Daphnia pulex: one gene and its partners. The main gene of each other region encodes a partner of the protein of the gene in region 2 in a complex. Links are inferred from orthologs where the notes say so. Each region holds a gene or a part of one and is shown on either strand. Other genes may lie near its edges.

Region 1 (2,420 bases), on a different chromosome or scaffold from region 2:
CTAAAATGTCTGAAAATCGGGGATACGTTTAGTCGTTTACCCTAAAACCGGGATAGGGAAGCCAACACAGCCGAGAACCGACCAGGCATCTATTGCTCTGCCCAGACCTAGTCACTCTCATGTTAATTTTTCGTCTATCAGAATATAGGCCCCACCCTTGTGTATCGTCTGGAGAGCATAGATGGCGTTCAACAATTCCGAGCTCAACAACTATCTAACCTTCTGGCAGTGGCGCTGAATTATGTTATTTATATATACCACATAATATAAATAAGGTAATAATATTACATGCACAATCTCTCATCGTGATTGACGTGATCAAGCTTAATTTGTTTAATTAGCGTCAATAAATGAAATCTTTCATTACCGAAAAATTGTTTTAGAATTCTCATTATTTTTTTACTATTAATTTTAATTTAACATTAATTTCCAGCCATTATATTTCTTCTAATGGTGTTTTATTTGCAACACTCCTTAATTTTCAGTTTATTTGTAACCTTTTCATTCTTAATTCCTCTCAACCCAATGCTAAGATGGCTAAGAAAAGAGTAATAAAGTGGAATGTTTTAAATAATTTACAATTTGGATGACATTTATTTTTCAGCAGTTAGGCTACATGATTCTTTCCAGTGCTTCCAACATTATAATTGAGTTTCCACGAACAACCTAAATTTACATATAAATAGTTAATGGTATTTGAATTTATGTATGCCATGTTAATTTTAAACATACCACCATCCCTATGTTATTTTTCGAACCATCTTTAACTTCTTCAACGGTTTCATCAATGACCAAGTTCATGAATGGATCAAAACCTCTCAAGATCCCAACAATGTTCCTACCACCATTCAGTTTCACTGTGAAAAACAATTCTTCAAAACAGTTTTCAATAATAATTTAACAAAAAAATAATACTTACAAGACATTCTTTTATCCATGTACCTGTACAAAAGAAGTAGAGATCATTATTAAAAATGTAAATATAACTTAAGCAACAATACATACTTCTTCAACTCTGGTGGATGGGCCTTGCTCATTTTGGTTTGAAATAACTAATATCTAATATCTACGTTGATGAATATATCACTAACTTCAAGCAACTAGGAAAAAACGTGATACACCAAGAAAGTTTGGATCGTTTTTAATGTCCGATGCGCGATGCCAAACGTTAGGAACGCGTGTTTGCCAGATATTGAATTTAGAAACTGGCGGCTTTGCGAGACCGGCGACGAGACCTGGCGGCTGGGCGCTGGCGCGCTAAGGAATTTTTTATACAGCTTGTGGCTTTTTTGCCTTATTAAAACAGGAAAAAAATTACGATCTTCAATTAATTGTATAAATTAGCAGCTACAATTCTGTAAGAAAATATTTTTTAGCAGTTTATTTCTATAGCAAAATGACTACCAATTACCTCAACTGGAATGGAAACTACACCAATATACTTTGAGCAAAAAAAAATAAACTGTGGAAGTTACTTTAATTAAATGTGTTTTTCTGTTGTTTTTTTCATTTTCTAGTTGATCTAAGAAACTTGTACTGAGATATTTGCACTCGTCCACAGTAATTCAGTGATTGACTCAAATTTACAGGCCCTTGTTGTAATAAACAACAGTTGGGGGATTCGGGGATTTTCGAATCTTTGCCTGAATTAAAAAAGAAAAGATGTATGTTAAAACAAGAACCACATTAAAACGCTATAAAAAATTACCTGTAGCTCTGGTTCCAGACTGTCAACCGAAATCGATGCTTTTTGAGGAAACAGGGCACAACACATTGGAGTAGCGAAAGTAAGTAATACGCCACCTGTAAGCCAAATAATAATACATAATTGGCCGTTTACAACTACATGATAAATAGTTAATGTTTCATACATAAAGTAACTTGAATAGGTGCCGCAGACCAAGGGAATCGCTTCAAGAAGCCCTTTCGATCCAAATAATTCATCAGCAGAGGTGGTAGGACTGCATATTATTGTGCTGGATGTTTTATTTTTATCAGATTACTATCGTATTACATGAATTACCCATTCCAGGAGAAGCCATTCCGATACGACTAAGGACAACTTGAGTGATACCCCATTTGGCAGCAATCGAAGATTCACCGAGTACATTTCCGTTCTCATCAGAAACTGAGATTCCCTTTTGAATTTCACTAAAAAATCAGTCGTATTTTAAAGCATTAGTTATCTTATGCGACGAGAAAATGTTTATCTTACTGCATTCGCATCAGAGGAATATTTACACAGTTAGCGGCAGCAACAGCTGCAAAGGGTACCAAACGCCCAATAATAGGAGACATTGACTAAAAATTAATTTCTCATAAAGTTATTTACATTATGGTCCATTATATCAAGTTAATATTTTTGATACCTTGGTCAAGCTATTCAAACCAAGAGCAGTGACTAAAGCCCCACTTGTTGC
Region 2 (2,869 bases):
AACCTTATTCGATCAGGATCTAAAATAACAGACGGTGAGATCTCATTTCTCTTTATTTTTAAATATCTTATTATTATTCATTTAATTAAATTGATACAGGGTTAAAATCAACATCAGGCCAGCTTAATTACCACCAGTTTCAAGTTAGTCAATCCACTGATTTTTCAGCAAATGTAGTGGACTCCGTAAACTCGAATGGTAAAAAGGATCGGGACGAGGACGCTGATATCATCATCGAAGATTATGACGACTAGAGTCGTCACGTCGCGATAATAAAGAGATCGAGGTTTTTTTTTATTGTAATGTCAACAATTTCTAATATTTAGAATTATAAAATTCTATTTGATGAACAAAGAGGAATAAATAATTTAAAAATATTTTCTTATATTGTAAGTATGCCAATGAATGAATAAGAAAACTTTTTAAAGGAAAAATTGGTATACTGAATTAAAGTGTCTTTAGTCCTTTACAGACGATTAACGAATCAGCCACAAAAAAAAATTTTACAAATAAACTTAGTAATTAAGACAGGAAATGTATTTAATCAAATGCATGGAACATAAAAAATTATTTAATATACTTGTCCATGAATTTCTTATGAAATTCAGACCGAAGTGAATCATTAATAAAAGTGATTTCTTTCCTTTCCGGCTCAGCACGGGAACAATTTTTGAAGACAACATCGTCATCCCATCGTCGTTTGACACGCAAGTCAGATTTCTGAGGTTTCCCAGCGTAATTTAACAATGGATTTCCGCTTAAAATATTTTCCATTCTGATACGTTCCTCTTCTTGTCTCTGTTCCATTTCCTGAAAAACAAGCAATTTGTGTATTTGACAAACAAGAGCATCTAAGTCAATGATAATACCTTTTTGGCCAATTCAGATGCTCGTTCACCCTTTATTCTCTGAAGCTCTGCCATTAATTCAGCAGTGTCATCTTCATCTTCTTCATCAACACTGTCATCACTTTCGTCTTCAATGGGATCATCTGCATCCAAGCTACTAGGATCAACACGTAATTTCTTCCTGCAAAGTGTTAACACATTCTTTAATCCCATAACTGAAATAGTTTGTAGAGATAGGGAAAAAAAGTTAAATGTTTTTCAGACTTACTGGGAAGATACTGACGAAGCTGATTTAACAGCCCTATCTCTGTCTTTGCGATCTCCTTTTTCCTTATGAGATTTTTCCCGTTCTTCTAGATCTCTTTTTAGATCCTTGTTGCGAATTTCCTCTGATGATCCCTGACCAATATCCCTATCAAAAGAAATAAAATTAGAATGTCAGAATTTTTGAATTAAATTTAAATTTTACCTGTATTTTAGTTTAGTATGTGATGCAAGATCTCGACTCGAATATTGCTTACTCATAGAACTGAGAGACGTTTCTCCCCTGCCTTGTCCTCCAGTAGCAGGGGCAAATGTTGGTCGCGAAGCAGTTGTCATTTTCTAACGATTTTTCAATTACTGTGGAAAATGCTACTTGTACTTGGCTTTGATGAAAGAGTTGCTCTGTTGTATCCGACTCTTGAAAACCTCCAAAGTTACTAAACGCTTTTCCCCCAACACAATTAAAATCAACTAATCAAGGACACACGACAGAAGTTGGATTCTTACTCGAGAATCTCGAGTCGAGATGCAACTCATGCAAGAAGCAGAAGAAGCAGGTTGATAGTTCTTCGTTTTCAATGTGGTGTCGCTAGTGTCGATTTTTATGCTCCTCCCCCGATTTGATCAGAAAACCCGCGAAATTTTGTTAATTAAAAAAAGTACGAAATAGGTTACTTTGTTTCACCTCACATAACTGGTTTCCTACATTTCCACACACGATTTATGTTACGCAATTACAGTACATTAAAGGAATACATATGTTTGTGGTTTATTTTTAATAACCAATAAAAAAATCGACTGTGTGAATGTGTTGACAATGAAAGTTCTAGATTTTCAATCACTACTAAAACAAATTTAGATTGATAAAACAACAAACCATAGTAGTGCGCATCGTCTTGCACCTTCCCTTTTCTACATTATTATTTTATCAACGGGAATGTCAAGAAGTGGTACCACATTTATAGGATGCATCCACATTAATCGTTCTCCGACAATTTCACTAATATTTGAGCGCGCCAGCGGTTGTAGACGAACTATTTGTTCAACTGTTTTCCCAGTTTTCATCAAATATTTCACTAAATCGAATTATCCAAGGAATTATCGATCAGAACGGTGTGGAAAAGAGTAATTTCCAGTATCATTTTGATGATTAATGATGGTCTGGGGTGAACAACTACTGAAAACGTCATTTCTTTTGTATCGACTATCGACCACACAAACATTTGGGGTACTAGGTAATGAACTACCTCGTGAACTACTTAGTAGGCTTTCTTTTTCCGGATCAGATCTAGTCAGGAGGCAGTTAGAATTACAACGAGAACTGTCAGGTTGTAACTCAATAGGTGAAAACCCGTTCGTCAAATTTACAGACTAAAATGCAATTTAAAAAAAAAATTGGGTTAGTCACAATATTTATCATCTACATAAAAGTAATTCAGTTGCAGGAATCCCATACCGTATCAGAATCTTCTCTGCTAGACATGAAAGCAGATTCGCATTCCGTCATTCGTGGCACAACTTCACGCTGTACCCGCTCTAGGACGGTAGCACTTCTGACTGCTTGGTACAGGGATCGGCTCATGTGAAAATACACTAGATCACTGACCGCACGAACAGTATAATCAACAACAAACGCCTGTCCACGTGCAGCTTTGCTTCCATTATCGCCAATGTCGAATTCATCGATGATTGGAGAGTGAATTGATTGTACGCTGCCATGAAAGAACTGGTTGGCAAATGACGATTCTCCTGATACA
Region 3 (3,764 bases), on a different chromosome or scaffold from region 2:
GGCTCCTGAGGCGCAAACTTCCATCATAATGTAGTCCACCAGCTGAAGCGTGAACAATCCACCTTCCAGACGTTTAAGGTACATTTCGTCCTCGTCCTCTTCGTCGTCGTTCCGCTGGAGTTGAGCGTCAATCACGCGTAATTTGTCGAAGTATTTGAAGTGCAACTCCATCAGTCGATCGGTTTTTTCGTGGTCGTTTTCTGTAAACTTCGTCAGAAGTCTGGTGCGCTGTGATCCTCGGCACGACTTTAGCATACTTGCAATCACCGAGACTATATGTTCTAAAAAAACGATTTACACGGGTCACGTTTTATAAATTTGTGATGCACATCAGTATTTGCACTATATTTTATATTTACCTTCATACTCTTCTGCTGACATCCCCTTTCTCTTCAGTTTATGCGGCGTTTTCATGAATAGCGGAAAAATAGTCCTTAAGCCGAGGATGTCCACAAATTTGGTGCAATTATCTTTACCGGCCTCACCACTAAGTGCGTGATTCAAAACCTTTAACGCGCCATTTCTGGACATTTTTTTCTCTCTGTAAAGAAAGTGGGGAAAAAAACGGGTCAGGCTTCAAGATCAACAATATGAATGGTAGCAAGCCGGATCGTGGGAATTTCAACAATACCGCAACATGAGGTTCATAAGTTGCAAGCCCTCTCCCTTCAGAAATCTGTCGCGGTTGGGAACGTGAATCAGACTGGAACAAACACAATCGAACAAATTCTCCATCATTTCTTGTTCTTCTCCTGTTTTGGGATCTTGCCGCTTGAAAATCTGCGAGAAAATAATTAAAAAAATGACTTGCACTTTTACACAAATGAAAAATGAATGAAGAAAAACGTTTTCTTACGGCTAACTGTTGAAGCAAAATATCAATTCCGTCAATTTCACCCAGAAGTTGCCGATTTTCTGGTGTGCCTTGAAGCAAAATGGACAATATTTCACTGCAATATAGTTTGTTGGCGTCGAATGGTAATTTAGCTCTTAGCCGCTTCATTATCCAACTCAGCAACCCCTGTTGGGCTGCTTGTTGACACACTTCAGGCCTAATTTCCGTTAAGTTTTCCACAATGGCTGAAAGAACAAATTATTTTGTGAACAAAAACTGGGTACTTATGAATTATAGAAACATAAATGATCGTCTATACCTAGTGTATTGTGAACTCCGTCAGATTCTTCTGTTTGAGCTTCGTTTAGTCTTTCCAGGTTGTGGACTAGGAGGGCACAGATTTGCTGGTCCAGGAGTGCATCAATTAGAATTGCAGCTTCATCTTGACTTTCATTCAGAGTATCAATGTCAGTCAATTCTTGAAGCAAATTGACCACAGCGACAGAAATGTCTGCATTGTCATGTGACAATAGACCTAGCAATGTTGGTATAAGCTTTTGTTCAACACCTACTGTGTATAGTTCAGGAGCTGTTGCAAGTGCATGCATCAGTTGAATTGCTTCATGCAATTCCAATTCTGATTCCATAAACCTAAAAGATAAAATAAAAACTATTATGAAGAATGATGACAAAACAAGCAGAGGATAGGAATCATACTTCTCTGGCGCATCTGGAAATTTAACACGTAGTTCTTGATTTTTCAGAACCCGCTTTTCAAAATTTAGAATCATTCTCTTTAGGGAGGCTTCATCAAGGCTTTCAGAACCTTCATCTTGCTCTACCAATTTGAGCAATTCTTCTTTTTCTGGAGTTTCAACAACTGGGGGAGCAATATATGTGGCTGTTGATCTTGGGTTTGGCTTTACATTACTGGTTGGAAACTGTTTAAGTTTCTTTCCGGGACGTTCAAACTCTGGCTCTTTATCATCATCTGCAACATCTCGTTTGGGGTTTTGTTTTGGCTGTAACAAGAAAGTAGTGATTAATCATAATAAAACAAATGAAAGCTTTCAAAATAATCCAACAAATGCCATTGCAATATATGCTCCATGCAATCCCATAACATCCAATGCTTCTGTTTCCCCTTAATGGACTTATAGCTAAAGAAGTGTTAATACAAACTGATTTACACACCTTAAAAGATAAAAGTTCACCGACATCCATTGCAGATATTCGATTAAATTAAATAATGAACCAGCATAAACAAAATTTGAAGAGATCTTTTGGAACTTTCAACTTTTTAAAAAACACGATGTGTCAAACATGAAAATAGAGTCATCTACCGTTAGGAATATCAGAATAAAAACGCCATCTGGCCATAAGTAATGAAACTCGATGGGTCGATTTTATGATTAGTGTTGTCTGCTTTCGTTTTGTTTGAAAGTTTCGAAAAAGAAAAAGAGACAAAGATTTTTGGGGGGAAACGTTACGTTGCTGCACGAAAAATAGCACTAAAAATTAAAAACAAAAATGTGATTGCCGTGTCAACTCTGGTCGCCGGTCGCGTGTCTTTATAGAATCGCTTAATGCACATACACATGCTGCTTTAGCAGGTAAAAAAACCCCATAAATTCAAATAGAATGACTGACTAGCATGTATCATGTAATAAGGGGCTTACATGATAAGTGTTGCTATTGCATGTGTGTTTGTGAGCACTATGTAACATTCTCATCTTTGTGCAGATTTGAGGCCAGAGCCAACCATCAAACCACAACATATGCAAGTTTTGCTTGTGCCAGTATTCACAGTGTCATCAGCAACAATCTTAGTATCATCACTCAGGTAATGATTTTCGTTACTTTTATTAACCTGTTAGATGTTTTAAATAGCCATCACTTGCAGAGTGTTACAGGGAATTCTTACATTCTCTTGTCCATTAATAAATAGGATTCATCTGCTGTCTTGTTTTCTATTTATCACTAATTGTTTCTGTAAATATTTTTCGTAACTCATATTTCATATTTGATTTTTATTTAGATAGGATTTATAGCATCCCGTTTGATTGGAGAGACTATCACCGATGTCGACCGAATTTCTTCCCCTTTCTTGGAATGTCCTCTTTACACCCATGTGAACGTGGACTTAAAGGCTTTAAGGTAGAAAAACATTTATCTAAATTCTTCCTTTTTGACTGTTACTTGGCGTTGATTATAAATTTTTGAGTACGATTATTCCTGAGCTATGCGGTTGACCGGAACGGTTTTCTCTTGCCGTTTTTGTTTACTCGGTCAGGGTTTGAAAAAGTGGTTGCTCATTTGTAGAACGGCTGCAGTTCAGGCCCTGTTTTGTACCTCACAACTTTGTCTATAGGTAAAAAGTCCAATTCAAAAATATTTCAACTTCAAACACTTAAAGCAAAGTGCAACTAGAAAAATTTTATGACGAAAGAGGGTCCTTGGTCGCCACACTGGCACTCGTTCTTAAAATATTCCCTCGGTTAACCCTCGTTTTCAATTAGAGAAATTTTTAAGAAAGTTTTTATAAATGGTGTTATACCAAGAGGAATAAGTTTTCCGGTGTCGTTTGTGGTTTTAGGGTAAAATTCATATTTAAATGGAATAATAATAGGAGGCTATTTAATATCACACCGTATTAAAAATGCCTGAAGGAATTGAAACTTGAAAAAGTAATGATTCTAAGCTACGAATGATATTTCTCGAGAAACCGACGACAAATCATCACATGAGCAATTAAAAGGGTTCATTTTTACGACGCACTTTCCAGCTGTGGAGAGTAATAACCAGCGACTATTCATCTAGAAAGCTTTTAAACAGTCGCCTTTTCCTTTCCCATGTGCAAGCCTACAGTAGAAAAAGTCCTGTAATGTTGGAAAGTGACTGTCTCTCGTAATAATTACGATATCATGCC

Evidence for each region.
Region 1: spliceosome-associated protein CWC15 homolog (region 2) and probable small nuclear ribonucleoprotein G share a complex: the UniProt entries of both Homo sapiens proteins name them as parts of the minor spliceosome. The link is inferred for Daphnia pulex from reciprocal best matches to the Homo sapiens genes CWC15 and SNRPG.
Region 3: spliceosome-associated protein CWC15 homolog (region 2) and beta-catenin-like protein 1 share a complex: the UniProt entries of both Homo sapiens proteins name them as parts of the PRP19-CDC5L splicing complex. The link is inferred for Daphnia pulex from reciprocal best matches to the Homo sapiens genes CWC15 and CTNNBL1.

The regions. Positions count from the first base shown.
Region 1 is NC_060026.1:11,525,852-11,528,271, forward strand, and holds probable small nuclear ribonucleoprotein G, read right to left. Parts: upstream 1,196-2,420; 5' UTR 1,038-1,195; coding exon 1,006-1,037; intron 943-1,005; coding exon 920-942; intron 858-919; coding exon 733-857; intron 667-732; coding exon 613-666; 3' UTR 575-612; downstream 1-574. Other genes in the region: sideroflexin-1-like, read right to left, coding at 1,584-1,643, 1,709-1,803, 1,872-1,961, 2,024-2,151, 2,216-2,301, 2,370-2,420. UniProt on the Homo sapiens protein: Plays a role in pre-mRNA splicing as a core component of the spliceosomal U1, U2, U4 and U5 small nuclear ribonucleoproteins (snRNPs), the building blocks of the spliceosome.
Region 2 is NC_060025.1:5,440,360-5,443,228, reverse strand, and holds spliceosome-associated protein CWC15 homolog, read right to left. Parts: upstream 1,685-2,869; 5' UTR 1,449-1,684; coding exon 1,318-1,448; intron 1,261-1,317; coding exon 1,117-1,260; intron 1,030-1,116; coding exon 870-1,029; intron 811-869; coding exon 568-810; 3' UTR 520-567; downstream 1-519. Other genes in the region: cell cycle checkpoint protein RAD17-like, read left to right, coding at 1-34, 100-254; unextended protein-like, read right to left, coding at 2,211-2,483, 2,569-2,861. UniProt on the Homo sapiens protein: Involved in pre-mRNA splicing as component of the spliceosome. Component of the PRP19-CDC5L complex that forms an integral part of the spliceosome and is required for activating pre-mRNA splicing.
Region 3 is NC_060022.1:2,352,533-2,356,296, forward strand, and holds the start of beta-catenin-like protein 1, read right to left. Parts: upstream 2,198-3,764; 5' UTR 2,060-2,197; coding exon 2,030-2,059; intron 1,858-2,029; coding exon 1,553-1,857; intron 1,487-1,552; coding exon 1,155-1,486; intron 1,081-1,154; coding exon 857-1,080; intron 781-856; coding exon 632-780; intron 542-631; coding exon 360-541; intron 282-359; coding exon 1-281. UniProt on the Homo sapiens protein: Component of the PRP19-CDC5L complex that forms an integral part of the spliceosome and is required for activating pre-mRNA splicing.